Lonchura striata: one gene and its partner. The protein of the gene in region 2 interacts with the protein of the main gene of each other region in a pairwise test. Links are inferred from orthologs where the notes say so. Each region holds a gene or a part of one and is shown on either strand. Other genes may lie near its edges.

The links. The genes of interacting proteins can lie anywhere in the genome.
Region 1: the proteins of DZIP1 (region 2) and PPP2R5A interact in binary tests that used the Homo sapiens proteins (3 or more experiments, as listed by UniProt). The link is inferred for Lonchura striata from reciprocal best matches to the Homo sapiens genes DZIP1 and PPP2R5A.

Annotation. Positions count from the first base shown.
Region 1 is NC_134605.1:11,993,698-12,004,292, forward strand, and holds the start of PPP2R5A (serine/threonine-protein phosphatase 2A 56 kDa regulatory subunit alpha isoform), read right to left. Parts: upstream 4,007-10,595; 5' UTR 3,721-4,006; intron 3,486-3,720; 5' UTR 3,410-3,485; coding exon 3,259-3,409; intron 3,174-3,258; exon of another isoform or gene 3,153-3,173; intron 1-3,152. UniProt on the Homo sapiens protein: The B regulatory subunit might modulate substrate selectivity and catalytic activity, and might also direct the localization of the catalytic enzyme to a particular subcellular compartment.
Region 2 is NC_134604.1:76,786,600-76,797,507, forward strand, and holds the start of DZIP1 (cilium assembly protein DZIP1), read right to left. Parts: upstream 4,247-10,908; 5' UTR 4,142-4,246; intron 2,398-4,141; 5' UTR 2,326-2,397; intron 992-2,325; 5' UTR 925-991; coding exon 922-924; intron 847-921; coding exon 352-846; intron 1-351. Other genes in the region: DNAJC3 (dnaJ homolog subfamily C member 3), read left to right, coding at 9,799-9,880. UniProt on the Homo sapiens protein: Molecular adapter that recruits protein complexes required for cilium assembly and function to the cilium basal body.

The DNA of each region.
Region 1 (10,595 bases), on a different chromosome or scaffold from region 2:
TGACAAAATCATGCTGTGTTCCAGCACATTACTTTGGCTGAAGATTCTTCAAAATTCTGTTATTACGCAAACTTTAGGTAACAAAATGAAAAGAAGATTGGGAGGTGATTAAACAATCTTTTTTTTTCTTTTAAATATCATCACTCTGTCTTCAGTATTTCTTATTCAGTTGTTAAATAATATAGCAAGATGGACACTGTCCTGAATAACAGTGCTTTAGGAAATCTCCTAAATTAACTGAAGAACACATTACTAAATTATTTTGAGTATCCTGCCATCAGTCAGGTTTTGCTGAGCTTTCACCTACACAGGATAGATATCATCACACACAAAGCCAAGCTGAATGTTAATCACAACACAGAACCTTACCATCCCTCCTCTCCATCTCACTCCCCCCCCAAAAAAAACACCTCTGAAGGGAAGAGCTCCTGCTACTGGGGACTGTTACTCACTAGTAAGAGATGTGATGTATCACTGATAGAAGAAATGCACAGCCAAAGCACAGAATTTTGGCAATTCAGAGCAGCAGTACAATTAACTGCAGAAACATGTCTTTTTAAGATTATCTGTCTAAAGGCTTTAAAACAGTACAACTCTGAAAGCGTGTCTCACCATCTGAGCTGGCCATTCCAGTGGCAAACAAAGCAACCCCTACAGAAAAGGAAAAATCCCACAACATTTACTACCCAAGAAGGTACTTTCTAAACTGATGGGTAATTTCTGGTTTTCTTCTGGAACATCTCTCCCTCCAGTAAAATAGATGCAAGTCCTTTAGGGCAGTCTGACAAACCTACTAGGGAGTTTTAAAATACTGTTTATACTTATTTTAGAATATTGTCTCTTAAAAGTGATAAAACAAGACAATTCCTATAAACAAGATGAAATATTTTACAGCAGCACAATACCAAACAGCTTTTTCATCTAAAAATATTGCATTTTCTCCCAATACAGGTTTGAAATACCTCAGGTTTAACATTTATTTGCAGAGGTCTGTAAAAGTAAAAACTTATTCTAATTACTAAGTGTATGCTGAGCACCCGCAGGCATCATTATAATGACTGTACTTTCCTTTTCCAGCCCATCCCTGTAAATTCTGGCTCATGAGTCTGTAGATGATATTACACTAGCAGCATCAAGACTATTGCTAAATTCCATACTAACTTTAACAAATAAAGCAAAGATTTATCTTCCCAAGACACAAGCGATTAGAACAAATAGTTTTATAAAACGATCCATTTGCAGAGAGAGCAAACTCTTTTTAGAACCTTTTCTGGCTTCAGAGGCAAGGAAGGTTTAAAAGGAAAAAGGAGAGAGGGAGCATTATGAAAAGAAACTATCCCATGTCCACAGCTACGGGACAAATCTAACATCACAAACCTAAGGGAAAAATGCAAGCAAAAGGAGTGCTGTTTGACTTTCTGCAAACTGCCTACTTGGGACACTACAGCTCATAAAAGTATATTTTGCCCACAATTTCTGTTCTGAAGCAGGTCTCCAAGGCAAGACTTCACATCTGAATCATAAGCATAAAGACTGAAGGGATTTTCCTTTAAGAACTTAAGGCAATAAGGCGATTCAAACTACTATAAAACCCTGCATAACTGAAGAAATTCCTTTGCTGGTTTATGGCTTCAAATTTCCAAACATGTGAGCTGCTGATGGCATGCAAAATTTTTCTGTATTACAAATAAAAAGTTATAAAACCACACTCAAAAAACTACAAGACTTAATAATGCAGAGTTAAAAATTTAATATTAAAGTCCCAGCTCAGCAAAGAATGTAAACTTGGACATTTTGCTGATTGAAGCTGGAATTGCTCCCTGCATAACACACGTATGTTTAACTGTTTGCTGGACCAGGACTCAAACTTTCTGAAGTCTGCCACCTATATGCAGTATTTACCAAGGGCCTTTACAAAGTCCCAAGTGTGGTTTCTCAAATTCAGCTCTGAGGAAAATGTATTGTCTAAACTGCATGGAAACAGCAGAAACTGAATCTTAGTTTCAAACAAAATATCCAGGTTATATATCCCTCAAATCAAAGTAGCGGACCAAGACAGGACACAACTTCATAGAGGAAGGAAAGCCCATAACAAGGAGCAAGAACAATCCTGCTGTTGCTGTTAAAACTAACACCCAAACCGACTGCAACAAACATTTTAAAACCAAACAACCCTGCCCTTGTTACTCCCTTGCCTAAGCTTATTTCTAGTCAATAACATTTCTGCTAAGAGCCAGATTTATGATTCATGTACATCTGTCACTCAAAGAGCAGAAAAAACGTGACAGCCCTGAAATATTAGACATGACTGTAAGTGCCATAAAAATCAAACTGAAAAAAAAATCCAAACTTAGTACCTATGAATATTTTTATGTTTACTATATCTCATTCAGATTTTGGATATTCACTGCAAATCAGATTTTTTTTTTTCCACCATCACATGATGCAGCTTCAAAAGCCTTAAGACCTTAAAGCCAGTGGAAGTAAAATTAACATGCTAAGTCACGTTAAAGTAGTCGCTCTACCTTATTTTTCAAGTCCCTGATAAATGCTTTAATAACAAGCTTTATACTCTCTCAACATATCCTTTCGTAATTTTAAAAATATACAGAAACGTATTCGGATGGTCAAAGATGTAGAAGTTTGCAATGAACTTCGCTTCATTTTTATGACCTAATGAACTGAGCCTTCTCAAATTTTAGAACCAGCACAGCGGATAAAACCATCACTGTCTATTTTCCGCTTCATCCAGAGTTTTCATTCGCGTGAGAGTGTCGCCACACAGACTGTGCTGGAGGAAGTCTCCGAGGCAACTCCTGGAGAGCAGCAAAACGCCGTCCCAGCACCGTCCGAGAGCGGTGCGAAAGCCGGGGCAGCCCAAGGCGAGCTCTCCGCTAACTCGGGATGTCACGCCTCGGGCACAGCTCCTCTCCGCAAAACCCCCGTGGGAGGAGCCACCGCTCGCTCCCAGGTTTTAGCGCTCAATTGCTTGCACTCCCCAGCTCAACTTACCGTCTACATTTTCCTCAGTAAGACCTTAAAACGCACGCGAACAGCCAGAATAGGGGGGTGGCGAGTTAGCGGAGTCGGCGCCCGGGACAGCGGCGCTGGGTGGTGCGAGCAGAGGAGCAATTCCTGCCGCGGGTCCCTACCTGGAAAGCAGCGGGGGCAGGGGAGGACACGGCTAAAGGGCAGAGGGCGCGGGGCAGGCGGTGTGGGCAGCGGCACCTGCAGCCGGAGGGGAGGGCAGGCTCGTACCTTTGAGCTGGGGCAGCGGCGAGAGCTCCACCGGGCTGCCCTGGCTGCGGAACTGCGAGGAGCCCTGCGAGCGCTTCTGCCTCTGCGCCTTGCGCACCGATTTCCGAGTGAAGCCATCCACCTTCTCCGCGGCAGAGATGGCCGCCGACATGGCTGGGCGGCGGGGCGGCTCTCCACGAGCATATATTGTACCGGAGGGAGAAGCGGGCGGGCAAAAAACAAAGGGACTTAAAAAAAAAAAAAAAAAACCAACAACGAAAAACACCACCAAAAACGAAGTCCTGGCTGCCCTCACACACCGCACCGACGAGGAGAGGAGCGGAGCGGGCTCTGCCGGGCGCTGGGGAGGCTCCCGGGTCGCTCCTCAGTTCCTGCTTCCCTCGCCGTTTCCTCCCCGCGCGGAGCCGGCGGGGGAGCGGAAGGGGGGAGGAGGAGGAGGAAAGGGAAAACAAACAAACAAACCCAAAGACAACTTTGCCCGGCGGGGCGGGGGCGGGCGAGCGCCAAACTTTCCCTCCCGGGGTCCCGCTGTCCTCAGGGCAGGCGCGGCGCGACCCGCTGCGGGACGGGCTCGGCGGCGCCGCTGCCCCGCTCCCGCTTCGCTCGCTCTGCGTCCCCTTCAGTCGAGCCCGCTGTCATCAGCCGAACTCGCCCCCGGGCTTCAGCCGCTCGCTTCCACACGCCCCTTGTCCGCCTTCAGCCGCCGCCGGGCGCTCCCCGCGCCTCCGCCGTCATCCCGCCTCGTCGCGCTCCGCCGGGGGCCGCCGCGCGTGGCGCCGCCACAACCCCGGAGCCGCCGGGCAGCGGCCGCACAACTTGGCGGAGCGAGCGGAGTTGAGCGGAGGGAGGAGGGAGGGGCGGGGCGAGGGCGGGGGCAGAGGCAGCGGTTGGCGGCGACGGGTGATTGACGGCCCGGAGCGACCAATGGAAGGAGAGGAATGCGGAACGCCCCCCGCTCCGCCCGCGGAGGCCTGGGGAGAACGCGGGAGTTGGGCCGCGCGCCGGGGACCGGATGATTGACAGCCGGCTCCTCCAGCCGGGAGCGGGGGAGGCGGGGTGGGCGGGGCTTCCCGGCGGGGGGAAGGGAAAGGGAAAGGGAAAGGGAAGGGGAAAGGGAAGGGGAAGGGGAAGGGGAAGGGGCGGGATGGCGGGCGGGGCGCGCTCCGGCCAATCCCGCGGCGGGCGGGGGAGCGGCGCAGCGAGCGTCCCGCGCCCGGCGGTGCCGCTCACGGGGACACCGCCGAGAGGGTGTTTGACCGGGAGCCGGGAGCGCCGGGAGCGCCGGGAGCCGCGGCAGCGCGCGCTGCGCTCCCAAGCGTATCTCCGTGCCGTGTCCCCACTGCTCCCGAATTTTTGGTTCCTTCGCCCACCCTCCCGACGCCTCAGCGCTTTAAGGTCTCCTTTGGTCTCCGCTGGGCTCGGGTGTGTGACGGTCGGCGCGGCCGCGGTGTTTTCCCTGGCTGGCAGCGCGGCAGCGGCTGGAGGCGGCGCTGCCCGAGCTTCCCGGGCTGGATGCGCAGCCGGGAGCCCGTCCCGCTGCTGGGCGCGATCCGCCTGCGGGGCTCGGGCTGCAGCCGGGCCGGTGACAGCCACGGCTGCGTGTGCGCCGCGGGCTGCATCAGGATCTGACCTGCGCTGGCCCGTTCCCGTACCCGGCTCCCCCGCCCCCGTGCGGAGCTGGACACGCGGGATGCCGTGTCTTGTGGCCATTCACGTACCGCTAAGTTTTGAGCACGTCAGCGCATTTCTTTTTGCTACATAGGTTTGGATACCGATATAGCAAATAAGCATTTGTAGTATTTTAAGCACACACTCAAGTTTCGGTAGCTGTGGTAGGGCATAAATACAATAAGATCACCGTAAATGTTTGTAAAATGCCTTCATTACATGAGTTGGACTTTAATCTCTGTGTATATAAACCATAAATCAAAAGGCAAATGATTATAGCTTTATATGAATGTAAAAGACTAAGAGTGTGATAGCCTATTCAGTAGAAACAGATCTCCCTGTTTGCTTCTGTCTCTTCATTTTCCTTTCCTATGTCAACACAGTCTCTAACTTGTGCACTGCTCATCTTCTTTGCTTTTGGTGAAATAATCTTTAGTAGAGAGAGGGAGTATGAGCCATTCACTTGAGTTGGACTCAGTGATCCTTGTGGGTCTTTTCTGGTTTAAAATATTCTATAACCCCTATGAGCTGAGCTGAGACAAGCCTTTTCTATACACTTTAGATTAAATTCTGGATAGAACATATCTAGAAATTATAGAGTACTAATGTAATATACTTTTATCAATCTTGTAGGTGTTGTAGACTTTTCATTTCATTTCCTTATATTATAAAATCTGTTTTACAGACAACATAGCAGTCTCTAGGTACTTGTCCTTTAAACTACCAGCTCCAATATTGATTGCAGTAAAGGAAATCCTTGCATTAATTACATGATTAATTCTCACTTCACTTCAAGGCCCACAGCTCTTATTGAGAGATCACTGGGGCCAAGCCCCTGTATCGGTGTGTTCCTCTGTTCCTGCCTGCCCTCCAACAGCTGTCATTTGCTTCTGCACCCATTTTTAGAAACTGACACTGCCCAGCGTGTCCTGTGTACTGTTTATTGGCAACTCAAGCCTTGCTTCCAATTCCCAGGGTAAAAGAGTCTACCTTAGAGGTTCATCAGCATTTCAGGATTTGTTAAGGAAGCTTGATACATGTTCTAGTTGTAAAATGTAAAAATGTTGGTTTTCTGCGGTTTAAAGTGTTTTCCCCAAGGTTGCTTAGGCTTAGAAGTGCTGTTTGAAAATGTGCTTTAAAAAATCTGTTGGCAGTTGAAATTCATGACACCAAGCCTTCCTTGCAATGATGGGATTTTCATATTGATTGCACTGAAAGATATTTTCAGACTGCATCTTCATGTATCATTTGTAAAAGAAATATTGGTGAGATCTGAGTCAGCTACACAAAACAAAACGTTTATTCTCTCAAATAAATAAGAAGTACTTCTAGCCATTGAGTTTTCTTTTGTCTTTTTAATATAACTCTTCTGTTTCAGAAAAGAATGAGCAGCATCTCTGGTGACCAGCTACAGTTTCCTAAACTGAAATGGTAATGTTTGCTTTAAGTTGCACTTGAAGTCAGTGGAATTACATCAATGTGTGAAATCATTGGAACATACAGGCCTGCTGGACTGGGGTATTTGGAGACAAAAAATGAAACAAGAGCTGTGAGTGGCAGTCTGAAATAATTGTGTTTGAGAGGGCTGGAGTTTGCCCTTCCCTGCTTTCTGCTTCCTACACAGCTGTCAGAGCTGCTCTGAGTCAGCTTCTGAAGCCCCTGGTTTTCAGAGTATATTTAAAGGCACACAGGGATGATGCCAGGTTACAAGCTGCTGGCTCCAGATGCAATTCATTGAAGTCTGCGGTGTCCACAGAGAATGTTGTGAATAGTAATTTTATGCCAAGCTATTCCCACTCCTAAATCAGGCTCCTCAGTATGCACTGAGGCCTTGATTCTGCAAAACCTCTCGCATATCTCTAGCTTTGAAGAAGGCTCATTATCATTATTCAGAACGGAGGAGCAACATTCTGGAGCAGATTTTACTGAAAGTCGCATTTATGGTTCTTTTCATTTAGCCACAGATGATTATTTCCTGCATTTTCATATCATCTTTTTACCCAGAAGAGAAACCTTTGGAAAGGTGAACAAGAACATGACGCATCATTAGCTTGCAGAATCCTGGCCAAGTTGTCTTGCAAATCTGGTGCTTCAAGTACCAGGTTGCTACCAGATTTTTGCTGCAGGGAGTTGCCTGGCTGCCAGCAGATGAGGAGTTAACTACAGCTCTGCTTTCCCATTCATCCATACGGATGCTTGGAGGCCAAGCTGCCAGAAATCTATCTCTTCCCAGAGACAGTGGGAGGAATATTTTAGTAAAGAGGATGCCCTAAGTGGGTGAACTCTCAGCCAAGAAAGTTTGTTGAGAAAATTTGATTTCCCTCTCAAAATGAATATGAAAAACCCTGTTGACTGCAACTGTGCTTATATTTACTACTGCACAAACCCAGCAGTTTTTCAGGGTATTTCACAGAATCACAGAATGTCCTGGGTTGGAAGGGACTTCAAAGATCATCTTGTTCCAAACCCCTTGCTATAGACAAGGGCACCTTCCACTAGACCAGGTTGCCCAAAGCCCCATCCAGCCTGGCCTTGAGCTCTTCCAGGGATAAGGCATCCACAGTTTTTCTGGGTAACTGTCGCTATTGGACACAAAACGAGCACACAGAAGCTTGGTAAGTTCAAAGGAAAAAAAGCACAAATTTTATTTCTGACCTCGCAATATATGAAATTCCAAAAGCGACAGTGGATTGGAGGATGAAATTGCCACCTCTCCAACCACACTGGTCAAACCAACCAGTCCATCAATTCTTTCCTCCCACAAAGAAGAATGCAAAACAATCTTTATCAACATGAACAGTGTATGAGAACTCCAGTAGAAATATGTAAACATCAGAAGGCATAGAAAACTTTTAAAAAAACTTTAAAACTTTCAAAAGAACTATAAAAGAAAACTTAACACTTTTATAAATCAGGGCAACACGTAACCTGTTCCAGTGCCTCACCCTCTTCACAGTGATGAACTTCTTCCCCATATGTGATCTAAATCTACCCTTTTTCAGAGTAAAGCCATTATCCCTTGTCCTGTCACTACATGCCCTTTTAGTAAGTCCCTCTCCAGCTCTCTTTTAGACCCCCTTTAGATATAGGAAGTACCCTAATGTCTCCCTGGAATCTTCTCTTTTCCAGGCTGAAGAACTCCAACTCACTCAGCCTGTCTGCAAATGTGAGGGGCTTAGTCCTAGATTAAAATACTTCCTTGGACTAATGCCCCAGTAGAACCAAGTGAGATATCCACCTAGTTCAGGATAAACTATATGCTTACATACATATGTTCTGTAGTCTATCTTGTGTAGTAGATATCAAGCATAAGTGTTCCCAAGTCTTCTGCTTGACAAATCCTTGAATAATACAGCATTAGTAATCTCAGGGCCATTTGTCACCTTAATCCCAGGGCAGAATTTGAAATTCAGGGATTGGAATTCAGAGGTTAGATGGCAAGATTTTGTTTGTAAGGGTCCTGAGTTTGACTCCTTTCAGTGTACCTGTGACTACATCATTACAGTCTGTGGTGGGTTTACTGTTGGTCAAATGCCAATGTACCCCCTAGATTTACTCCTTTCCTGCTGTGAGATAGGTTTAGGAGGAAGGTAAAGCAGGATCAAAACTTTAAAAGGGTAAAGAAAACTTTATTAACTAAAAGAAAGAATAATAATAATCAGAATAAAACCTTTAGAACACTTCTCCCTCTCCTACAACATTTTCTTTCCCACTAACAAAGCACAGAAACAAGTCAGTCAGTTTATCACTTCTAGAACAATCTTTCTTCGGTTCACTTAGGGAGCGGAGTCCCTCTTGTCAATTTATGGAAATTTCTCCACAAGAAAACAGTTCTCTCGTGGCTTTTAATTTCCACGAACAGCAGTTGCCCAGAAATCTGCAATCATGAAGTCTCTCCCTTTTTTCACAGCTTTTACCACAGCTGTGTTCATGGGCCATGTCAATTTATGGGGTACTGTTTTAAGGATGAGCTGTTTAAGAGCAAAGGTTCTCCTTATTTATCTCTGAGATCATCTCTGGGAACAGAGGTCTTCTTCTTTCTGGATGGGCAAAGGGTCTTCATCCATCTTCTCTCTCTGTTCAAACTTGTCATGTGATCACAGCTGCTTCAACATCTGCTTACTTTAGCATAAATGCCTTTGCTCATATCTACAATTTGAACCCTTTATTCCCCATACTTTTCAATGGGTTACAGGGGGGAAAAGAGTCAAATATTCTTCTCCATAGCTTTACAAGAGGATTTCAAGGTCAAGGCATCTCCTCATCCTTCCCATCTGGGACTTGACTCTTTCTTCACTAACCTTGGTGTATTCATGTTGTTCCTCTGCATGTCCTCACTCTGTCCTTTTCTCTCACTCAAGAGAGGATTGGTGTCTGTGGGTCTCATCTCTGCACTGAAAGAGTTTGTATCTCACCCGGGGTGTGCAGATGGTGACGTGATCCCTGCCAGGCAGCAATGCAGTCGTGATGATGGATTTGAGGCCACGCTGGGGGCTGTGTTGCAATCTCAAGGGGCCCAGAGTCCCCTTCGGTGCCAGGACAGCCCCTTGGCAGCTATTCAGAGAGGCATGTCCAGCTTTCTCAATGGTTTAACAGATTGTCAATTCTCAGGGCTAATTACTGGTAAGTTTTTGTCAGACAGAGGAAACTAGTAGCAGCTTCTCTTAGTCACTTCTGTGAATGGCTTCAATGCAAAGCCAGCACACTGGAGCATCCCACAAAGATCTTCCTGCACTCACGGGACTCACAGGCACCTTAGTGCTTCCTCTGTTTGTGTCTGGTCAAGGCTGAGATGTGCCTGAACCTCTTCTCACACTCAGGACACTCGTAGGGCCTCTCCCCACTGTGGATGCACCAGTGGGTGATGAGGTGGGAGTTGTGCTTAAAGCTCTTCCCGCAGTCAGGGTAGCAGAAAGGCCTCTCCTCTGAATGAATCCACTGGTGCAGGAAGAGATTTTCCCTACTCTGAAACCTCTTCTTGCATTCATCACACTCATAGGGCCTCTTCCCTGTATGGCTCCTCATGTGGACTGTCAGGTGGGAGGCCTTCTTGAAGCTCTTCTGACACACCTCACACTTGTAGGGCCGTTCCTCAGTGTGGCTCTTCAGGTGGACAATTAGGTGGGACCTCTGGATGAAGCTATTCTCACACTCCTCACATGTGTAGGGCCGTTCCCCAGAGTGCATTTTCCAGTGCAGATCAGGGAGGATCTCTTGCTGAAGCTCTTCCCACATTTTGAGCATCTGTGGGACTTCTCATTGTGAAGCCCATGGACCCCCAGCTCCAAGTTCTGGCCACCTTCCCAGCCCAGAATGGGTTGTTGCTCCTCAGATCCCCACAATCTGCAGTCATTCCTTGTGTGGGATCTCTGGGACTTTTCCTCTCTGTTAGATCCTTGTGCCGTGGAGCCTCTCAAAACAGCCTCTTCCACGAGGTTCTGACGCAAGTTTTTGTCCTACCTGGTCTCCATCCTCAATTCCTTCCAGAGTCAGAATCCAACCTGACACTCTATTGGTCAGGATGTTGGTAGTAGTCCTATTACATGGTGGCTGCAGTCCTCCTGCAGTGACAGATGCCTTCTGCTGAAGCAGTGATCCTGTAGAAGGGTGTAGGTTGCCTCTGAAGGTCCAGTGGTGGTGTAGATGGATCTGGTCTTCCTCTGGGGATC
Region 2 (10,908 bases):
GGAAAGACAGCAACACAACAAAATAGCAACATGTTTATCACAGGTTTTGTATGTGTGTGTATCTGACATTTCAGATGCATCTAAAGCGAACCCAAGAGTAAAGAGCACCTGTTAGTAAAAAGAGGATTTGTTAAAGATGATGTAGCATTCTCTTAAGAGTCTCTGAAACACAGATGGAAAACAAGTGCCAGCAACGCACTTCCTTTTGCAAAGTCACTGGTCCTTACAGTTCCAGCCTTTCACCCAGCAAACAACTACACCCCAGCAGAGCGGGGCTGCTCTGCCGCTCATTCCACAGGCCCAGAGCTGACAAGGTGTGGGTGACTGGGCTACCAGGCCCTCTCCTCTCACCTGGTAGTAGTTGGCTCGTGCTTCCAGCATCATCTGCTGATTGCTGATCATCTTCTTCCTCCGCCGGCACTCCTCCTTAAGCCCCTGGATCTGCTGTAAGTGCTGGGCCAATTCCTTGACCACCTTGTCACGCTGGGCCTGTGCCTCTCTCAGGGCCTCCTCCAGGCTGCCGAGCTGGGCGCTGAGGTACTCCTGGGAGTGCAGCAGGTACTCGGTAGAGAGCTGCGCCAGGCGCAGCAGCTTCAGCAACAGCGGGTCTGCGGGGCCCTGGCAGTGCGGGCAGCACTCCCGCTCGGCGGTGCAGAAGGTGACATGTTCCAGGTGCGCCTGCAGGGCCGCCACGTCCCCCTCCCGCGTCACCCGCTCCACGTCCACGGTGCTCAGCCGCCGCCAGTCCGGGTTCTCGTGCCTCCCGCGGAACTGGAACGCGGGGAACGCCGCCGGGCCGGCGCCGGGCCCGGCCGCCGGCGGGTGGTAGGTGCGCTGGGAGAAGGGCTGCGGGGAGAGACACGGCTCAGCCCGGGCCGGCACTCGCCGCCCGCCCCGCCGCCCGCCCGTCCCGGCGCTCACCATGTCCGGGCTCCGTCCCTGCGGCTCCGCGCGGCGCCGGCGTCCTCCGCGTCGCTATAGCAGCCCCGGCCTGAGCGAGGGGAGGCGGCAGTGACGCCGGGCTGTACCGCCCGCCCCGCCTCTCCCCGCCCCACGGCCCTTCGGCTCCGTGCACGGCGCAAATCCCGTCCTTCTCCCTCCGGGCATCCTTCTCCCGCGGCGCCTCCACAGCCTCCCGACAGCGCCGCGCTAAGGAGCTCTGTCCCGCGGCTCCCGGTGCCGGCACCGCACGCAGCGCATCCTTTACCATCTTCACACGCCACTCGCACCAACAAACGTATCCTCGGCTTCGCTCTTATGTTTATACATCCTTAATGCAGCTACACAGCATACGCTTTCTCTCTCCACGTTCCCTTGGCTTCTTTGAAGTCTGTACATGCCACCCTACTCACACGTTCACTGCATCAACGTGCATCCCCATCCGGTGCCCCCTCCGTGCTGCTCCTGACTCTGACCTTTCTCAGTCTGCCATGACTTACACTCCTCTATACCTGTGTTGTCCTGTGCCCTTCTCCAGCCTTGCCTACTCAACTTTCTCCCAGATGTGACAACACCTGTCACCTCCCTACCATCAGCATTCATATATACAGCGTTTCTCCGTACATCTTCACACCGCTGCGCCCTCATGTGCCTTAGCTCGTAGCTCTATGCAATCTCTCCACTGCAACTCCACATCCCTCCCAATGCCCACACACCAACCTCCTGCTGGGTGCTTTCAAACAAAGGGCTCACCTTAACACAGTCACACACTTTGCATGCCGCTTCCACATGCTCCCGTCACTCATCGAATCAACACACCTCTGCCTGGTATCAGCACACACCAGACCCACTCCTGCAACCATAAAACCCTACAACCTCACCACATCTGTTGTTCCTGTCTCATACTACCGATCCCAAACCCTTCAGCCCCTCGTGCTTTGCATACATCACCTACTTTACCATCCATGCACAAATACTTTTCTTCAATGCAACCAACAACTTCTGCCTATATCCCTGCCTCACCTCAGTCCCCAGTGCTCCCCATTACGGTGTTTCCCTTGCACCTGCTTGGTTGCTTCAAACACTATTTCTGAGCAGCAGCATCTTTCCCCTCCAACATACAAAATCACCCTATTTCATTCTTCTCCAAAAACCTGCTCTTCCTGTTACCATTTCTTAATATTTCAGTCTCCTAGCTATGTCTGCCTTATTGCCATGTTCCACATTTATACCTCCCTAACTTTTCAGTCCCTTCCACACATATTTTAGTTTCTCATCCTCTTGGTCATTCCTAGATACATACCTCTCTAAGAACAGTCACACAATATATATCTGACCATACACTCCGTTCCGTAGATTCCTCTACATCATGCATTATAGACTCACAGAGATGTTCTCAAGGGACCTCTGGTGATCATCGTCCAGTCCAAATTTCTGCCGCACACTAGTTCACATCACCTGTGGCATTTAAGAAGAACAGACAATCCATGACCTCCCAGTACAACCTCCTGTATGTCTGCTCTCTTCCTGATGAAAACATTTTTCTTAATGTTTCACTTTAATAATAGTATCTGCTATTACCAAGATTAAAAAAATGGTTTGAATATTTTTGCCACAATTGTTCAAGTAACTGCAGGCCACTACAAGAGTACCCCTTTTCCTTCTCTTTACCATACTAAATAAGCCCAGGTCCCTCAGCTTCTTCTCATAGACCATTTAGATACTAACCATGTTAGGCCTCCTTTGTCCCCTTTCAGTTCCTCCTCATAGTTCATACCCCCCCATAAATTTCCCTCCTTTCACCTCCTAGGAACTTGTAATGAACCTCATCTTTCATCTGCACTTTTAACATTGCCTCTCCAACATAAACAGTAACATGTTTACCAGTAATCACAATATAGAACTACTTCCACAAAAATACCAGCAATGTTGCTAGGTGCACCAACATGAGCACCCTCACAAATTACAAGCTCTTAGTCTTATGTAGATTTCTATGTTGGTTGTTGCTTCTTGGACCTTGAACCTTAAGCCTACTGGTCACACTTATACCCAAGGTTCAGTTCCATTTAGATTCTTCCATCACTTACCACGCCACTTGTTTTTAATTTAGAAAAGATATTGTGTGATGTTCCAACATTTCAGCCTTCTCCTACAAGAATGACATTTTTGCCGCCTCATTTTCCACGAACAGTCTCCAGCTAATCTTCAAAGAAATCTATTTAACTTTTTTTGATGTATAGCAAATATACATATCATATCATATTACACATAATGAAATCTAGCTCCCAAAGATCTAAGCCCAATATGTGCTCCATCTATTTGACATAGGAGAAATTTCTTTACATAAAAACCATGTGAATTTTGAAAGCTACCACTTTGTGTGTCAAGCAGAAGAAGCCTGAAATTAATTAGAAAAAAATAACCAAACATTATTTAAAGCCAGCAAAGTAAACTATGCCTGAGGACAGCTTATTCTCCTCAACCAATGTATCTAGTCAGGAATATCCATACAGATTTGCATGCTTTAATTGAACGCGACCTTGCAGTGGTACATCATCTATGCATCATATAATGGTCCTTGTTGGAATGCACCTTAAAGACCATCTAGTTCCAACCAGCTGCCATGGGCAGGGTCACCTTCTAGTAGACCGGGTCACTCAGAGCCCCATCCAACCCGGCCTTGAACTCTGCCAGGGATGGGAGGAGCACTACGAGAAGACGAATAAACCGCCCTAGCATCTCGATGGAGACAGAGAAAGTACGCACGGGCGGAGGCGGCCCTTTTCGATCTTTTTTTCCCTTTCCTTTCTGCCAGCTTTACTCTATTCTGGGAGCTGTGCCCATGAAGAATTTAGAGTGATCACCCACGCGCGAGGCCTGGTCAAGGGTGGCACCGCCTGCATCCCCGGCCGCCGCTCCTCTCCGGGACGGGCGGGACGGGGGAAAAGCGGCGCTTCCCCGCGGCGGTGTCCGCGGGCCAGGCCCAGACGCGGCGCTTCGGGAGGCGGCCGAGCGCGGCCGGGCCTGCGGGAGGCCCTGAGCCGGGCTCCATCTGCCTGCCAAAACCTGCAGCTCCGTTTCGGAGCGCGGCCGCCTCGCCTCTCCCTGCCGCCTGCCCCAGCGGAGAGGCCCCTCCGGAGTCTGCCTCCCGCCACCCCGCTGCGCCCGGGGCGGGGGGAGAAAGGGAGACCCCTGCGCTCACCTCCGGCTGCAGCTCCGCGGGTCTCGGCGGGCGGAGGGGTGCGGAGGGGCGGCGGGGCTGCGGCCGCTCCCGCCCCTGCCGTTAGCGGCGGTGCCGCGGCGGCTGCGCCCCCGCCTCCGCCGGGCCCGTCCCGCGCCGGCCCCGCTACCCCGGGCCGCTCGCGGGGCTGGCTGCGGAGGGGTGGGCGCCCAGGGCAGGCGGGGGCTCCCCCGCTGCTCGTCCACGCTCCCTCCTTGATAACCTGCCCGGCAGATGCTGATGCCCGGGCGGGATGTCCTTTGTCTTAGTCCGGTCCCGAGCCTCTCCGACCGAGAAGAAGCCTTTTCTCTCCCTTTTTGTAAAATGCAAGGGAAGTTACAACAAGCTTTGGAAAGGCTGCCTTTGGGAGTTCAAGGCACGTTTTGCCACGCAGTCACCGCATACGACACGTTTAAACCTGTGGAGCAGCGAACTTCTTAGCGGGGTTGGGAGTCCCCGCCGACGCGAGGCGGGCGGCGGTGGGGCGGGGGCAGGAGCCCGCCTGCTCCCCGAGATGGACGGGGGGTTTGGGGCTTGCAGGAGCCCTCCTGCCTACCGAGCTGGATAGGGCGACTTGAGGAGCTGCGGGATCCCATCTGCCCGCCGAGCAGAAGCGGGGTCTCGGGATTTGCAGCATCCTGCCTGCGCACCGAGCTGGAAAGGGGTTTGTGGGTCTGCAGAGACTCGCCTGCCTGCCGAGCTGGAGGGAAGCCCGAGGGACCGAGAACGTAGTGATAATCTCCAGCGGGAGAAGGTGAGGAGCTTTCATGAGAGTTTTCTGACGTTTGCAGGAAAACACCGTATTCCAGTGCCAGGATAAGGTTGGGCGTATGCTTTCCTGCAGGTATTTTATAGAAGTAATGTCAGATGAAGTTGTTATTTTCAATTAAAATATGTATTGCATCATGCAGATAGAATAATTCCAACAGCTACAGATTACCTCAAATCCTTCTGATTTGATTCCTCTTCCCTGTAAGTGTTTTAAATTGTGTTTTTCCATTATAAATGCTGTGCAGCCTTTGTGGCCACAAGGAAAATTTCAAACACTTTGTATTTAATATAAATTATGCTGGCAAATTCAGTGATGGAAGTAATCATTAGACATTTACAACACCTAATCTTCATTTAGGAATTCCATTTGGCCAGGGATATACCACTGTGTTTTCCAAAGTACTGACACCAGCTTACCTTACTGAACTGTGAAATTCTGTTGCTACAGTGTAGATGTAGGCACATATGCTGTGAACACCAGCTTTAAAAAAGAGGTAATAATTTAGGTGCTTATGTTTTTGATGCTCCAAGGGTACCTCAGCATGCTTCAGTCACTAATGTGTGTTCAATTCAGAGGATCAGGCTAGTCTGAAGGAAAACCTGAACATGTATCAAATGTGGACATCCAGTCCTCAGTCCTAATGACTTTTGCTTTTGCAGATCTACATCTGTTGGACTACTAAAGCAGGCATTGCCAGAAGATGCTTTATTAAGGCTTTAGTGTGGTAAACCTTAATTAAGAGAGGACTTTGGAAACCTGCAGTGTGACAGTCACAGCCTCTATGGGTCAGGCCTAGAGGCAAATATGCAATACAAGTTGATGAATAGTTGTGAATATGTGAATAGTTGGAGCACTCAGAGAGCAAGATGAACAAGTACAGGCCCTTGGGTGCCCAAGAAATTCTATACCCCATTCCCTTAGAATGCCCTAATGGCAACACCAGAGTCTGTTCAGCATGCCTTTTAAGGATTTCTCTTGCAAATAAAGTTTTTTTTTGTATCAAAATAAATGCTAACTGTGTGCAAAAATGCTGGAAATGCTCTTCAGTTGATGAGGAGAGTGGCATATGAAGTGTGCAGAAATGTGGATTTTGGTGGTTATTCTAGTACCTGTTTAATACAAAATACACAAGCAGGCCTTGGATGAGAGCTATAACCAAGATTTTTATGGTGAAGGGGTGGTTCTCACCCTTTAATTCTTTTATTCTAATTTGTTCCAGGGCTTGATTAATCTTTAATTGCTAGCTGTAAGTGGTACAGCCTCACTTGGCAAGGGTGGGTATTCTTTAACCCACATTAGTGCTGAGTTCTACCCTTATATGCCTTGGTGACAAAAGTACTCTCCTAAAACATGCGTGGATTTACTAGGAGAGGACCAAGAGCATTTCCAAGGTATTTGCGAGGCTCATAGAAGGTACCTGCAAATGGAGAGCAGAAAAATGAGAGTATTCTGATTGTGGAGTGAAATATGATGACATCTTGGCAATGGCTATTTGGAAAATATCCTGAGTAGCAGGGGTACTGGGCACTGAGGGAGGCTGCGTGGGGACAGACAGGCCTGGCAGTGCCCCCAGAGCACTGATGCAATGTGTTATGTGAAAAAGTTATTGGTGTATTTTGTGGTGTGGAGGAGGACTACACATGTTGTACAAGACATTTTAATTTGAGAGGGCAGTGGAAAAACTGTCTTGGGAACTGAGAAGTGGACTCTTCAGTAACCTCTCTCCTACAGCGCTCTCAGAGTGACGCATACAAGTAATCATTAACTCTGGTGGAAAGCTGACTTCACCAGAATGGTGTAAGCATAATAATGAGCTTAGCCAGATTCTTAGTTTATTTAATCTTTTCCTTCCTGCCAGTTTGCACCATGGCACATTTTTCAATTTTCAAGCGAGTGGCTGTGTGGCGCTTAGTTGCTGGCTGGGGGTAAACTGTGACAAATACCTATAATAAATACTTCCATTTGTTCAAACTTTCCATCACTCAGTTTACCTGAGGAAATAATTTATGTATTTTTATCACAGGAAAACAAAATATTTTAAAGAAAGGTAGAATGAACCACTCTCCTGACCCTTTTGTGTCACTTCTTCAATCCAACAACTACCACCAACCACAATTAAGCAGTTTGAATAGACACTGCTCTATGTAGTTTAATAAATTTTATTTTCAAGTTTGGGTGCTTCAGACTCTTCAAATTAAATTTTTTTTAATCTTAAAATAAAACAGTTTATCTTAAAAGTTTCTCTTCACATAAGAAGTCTAGCTGGATTTTACTGAGATGGCCAGCTCATGTATCTTCCTTTCTTCCAAACTCGGAGGGAATTCAACTTAACTATAGAGAAATGTCTGCAAAGACACTGAAACCATTGATGCAATTGCAGCAACAGAAGGGTCACACAAGCAAGTACTTGGATTTTAACACTTAAATACCTCTAGATGAATTTTTTATGGCATACATTAGATATTTGTTCTTTTTCTAACAACTGCATTGCACTTTTTCACTGATGTGGCTATAACAGCCTGCAGCTGGGTGAGTAAAAGAGGATGCTAGATGGCATCACTGACCAATGGCTTACATGAACTTGTAAAATTCTGCATGAGAAGGGTTCTGTTGCCAGTGGCTTGAATGAATAATGTCTTGAGAGATGGAAACATCCTCTTAGGAAAGAAGAGTATGGAGCTGTCTGCTAGAGGAGGCAGAGGTAAGGCTGCACACATACATGCTCTTAAGTTCTGGTTAAAGTGCTTAGAAATGCAAGTTTTGCTTGTTTGGTGTTTTGGAAGACAAAATAAGAACAAACACCTTCAGTGATGGCACAGCACTTTGTTAATGGTATTTTTCAGTTTGTAAAATCAGAGACATTCAAGAGAAACAATATAGCTTCCTGGAATCACAGAGGTTTGAAATTTGGAGTTGAGCTGGGAAAAATATGTGTAATTAATGCTAGGTAAATCAAAATGAGTTTCAGGGAAATCAAAACTAGTTATGCAAATAGACTGAATTTCAGAAATTGCTTCAATCAAGAAATACAAAGAGTTCATTAATGTTAACATTTTTCATATATTTTCAAAATAAAATTCTTTACTTCAGAAAAATAAGTGTCTCAATATTTGAAGCAATTTTTTTTGATTTTCAGAGTAGCATTTTAATTGAGACATATTCTATGCCCTAAAAATGCAATACATGTTTTAATAAGGGCATATTTTCATAAATTAAATATTTTACTCCCTTGTCCTAGACAAGACTGGACACTCACACTCCCTTTCAAGACCAATGACAAACATCAGCTTTTCCAAGTGCAAGTTTACAGCATGTAAATTAAGCTCTTGTGCTGAACTGTGGGTTGTAGAAGCCTTTCTAATTCTATTAACTGTTAAGGAACCCAGATAAAGGAATTTCCCCACAGCTGTCTCCCGTGAATAGCAATCCAAATGTGAAATTCCCAAAAGATTAGCCTAGATAAACAAGAATCCTATGTTAAGCAGATGTACACTACTATTTAATGCAGCTCCATCACAGCTAAGTTTCTGACAGAGAGATGCACATAGGTAAGAACAAAAATGAGGTACAAGGACTGAGAAACCTCTTATAAGAAATAGTCCTGAGAATACCACCTATGTGTTATTGTCCTCTCTCACTTCCTCCTTTATTTTCATACTAGATTGTGCATGCAACAGTCTCCTATATTACTTCTATATTCTGCTCAGTTCAGTCTGCTATATTGCTTCTATATTCTTCCTGGATCAGGAAACTTTTGTTAGGGTGGATTTGGAATCGAGATTAATTAATGAAATTGTATCTATCGATTGTATCACCGAGCATTCCAGGGTCCTCCAGAGATAAAACTATCTCCACCAAATGTCATCTTATTCAGTTCACTGTCTCTGAAGCAATGAGTAGCTTCAAGTCATTCCTTGCTAATTGTCGCCCTCTGATGTTACTATATATTACCAGCACCAACTCGGGAGAAGACATGAAGTTATTAGAGGGTGTCCAAAGGAGGGCCATGAGGATGAAGGGCCAAGAGGGGAAGCCATACGAGGAGCGGCTGAGGTCACTTGGTCTGTTCAGTCTGAAGAAGAGACTGGGGGAGACTCCATTGCAGTTACAGCTTCCTCATGGAGGGAGGAGAAAGGGCAGACACTGATCACTGTAGTGACCAGTGACAGGACTGAGGGAATGGCCTGGAGTTGTGTCAGGGAAGGTTTGGTTGGATATTAGAAAAAGGGTTCTTCCCCCCGAGGGTGGCTGGGCACTGGAACAGCATCCCAGGGCAGTGGTCACAGCACCAGGCTGACAGAGCTCAAGAAGCGTTTGGACAATGCTCTCAGGCACATGGTGTGATTCTTGGCATGCCCTGTGGAGGGCCAGGAGTTGGGCTTTAAGAGCCTGATGGATTCCTTCTAACTCAGGATATTCTGTGCTTCTGTGATGAGGCACGACTGTATTTCCCAATCCGATTTTCATTCTCTGTAATTCTCTGAGAAAATCGTTAACAACTTCTGACTCAAGGGATGTCAAGACGAGCAGGGCGGGAGCGGGCAAAGAGAGATGAAATGCGGACGCGGCCAGGCGCACACCCCGTGCGCCTTTCAGCGGGCGGGGCGCGGCGCCGCCATGTCCGCCGAGGGCCCGCGCCGGCCGCGCCGCCATGTTCGTGAGGCACCGCGCCGGGGCGGGGCCGGCCCGCTCGCGCCGCTCCCTCACGTCCGGCGGCGGCGCCAGGCGGGGGCGGGCGCGCGCCGCGCGGCCAATCAGCGTCGCCCACGACCCTGCCCGGAGGAGCTGGAGCCGCCGCTCGGTTGGGCCCGGCCCGGAGCCGCCACTGTCGGGACGGGGGGCGGCGACGGAGGAGGAGGAGGAGGAGATGGTGTCCCCCGCCGCCTCGGCCGGGCGCCTGGGCTCCGCTCTGCCCTTCCTGCTCGTGCTCCTCGACCTGCAGTACCAGGGTGAGCCGCGCCGGGGTCCCTGGTGGGGGTGCGGTGCGGGGGTACTGTGCCGCGGCCGTGGCGGCTGGTGGCTGCCGCCCGCCCTCCGTCCGGCCCTCCTGCCGGGGCTGCGCGCATTCCGCCGCGGCGGCGGGGCGCACACTCCACGCTCCCCCCTCCTCGGGCCCGTGTCGTCTTGAGCGGGGGGCACATTTCGGGAAAGAGTGTGCGGAGGGAGGTGCAGCGCTGCCAGCTCATCTCTCGGCGCCGTGGCGAAGGATGAGTAACAAGGGCACGGGCGCTGCCGGTGACCTGTTGGGTTCGTGCGCTTGGACGCGGCTCGCGGTGTGTGCTTCGCGCTCGCCGGCCTGTCACGGACGGGCTGGGGCTGCCGCCAGCCACTGAGGCCTCGGGTGCCGCTGTCCTCGAGTGCAGCTGTGGGACAGCACCGGCCCTCTATGCTAGCCGTGAATTTCGCACTCCCGTGTGGATTTTGTGTAGTTCCGAAGTTCAAAGGCTTTTCCAGTGGCCCTTCTCAGCCGCAGGCAGTATTAGTACCACACTTAGAGATTCGCTGAGGCTTTTGATGGTTGCGTTGAATTTGTTCTGTTTGTGGTTTTTTTTGTTGGTCTTATTTCTTTTTCACCTCTCACCATTAGTATTTGAAGTTCAATTTATCTGTGCTTTGTGGAGCTTGTTTACTTTCATAGTACACTGCCAGTAACACCTGTGTAGCCAGACTTTTATTCACAGGCTGTTGTTAAGTTTCTCTGTTGCAGAATGGTAGTTATAGTCAGGGTTTCACCTGAGGGACATTGTTTACCTGACAGTGGCAGATGGAAATGATACTGAAGCTGTTAGTACTCAGAAAAGGGCTATGGGCTTAAGGAAGATAGAGGTTAGAAATTCAGTTGATACACTAAATTAAAGAATACTTCAGCTGGCCAGATGGCAACAGGAACATAGTGTGCCAAAGACACTGTGCATTAGATCATGTACTGTGGTGTCAACTTGCCTTTTTTTTTTTTGTTTGTTTATTTTAATATGCA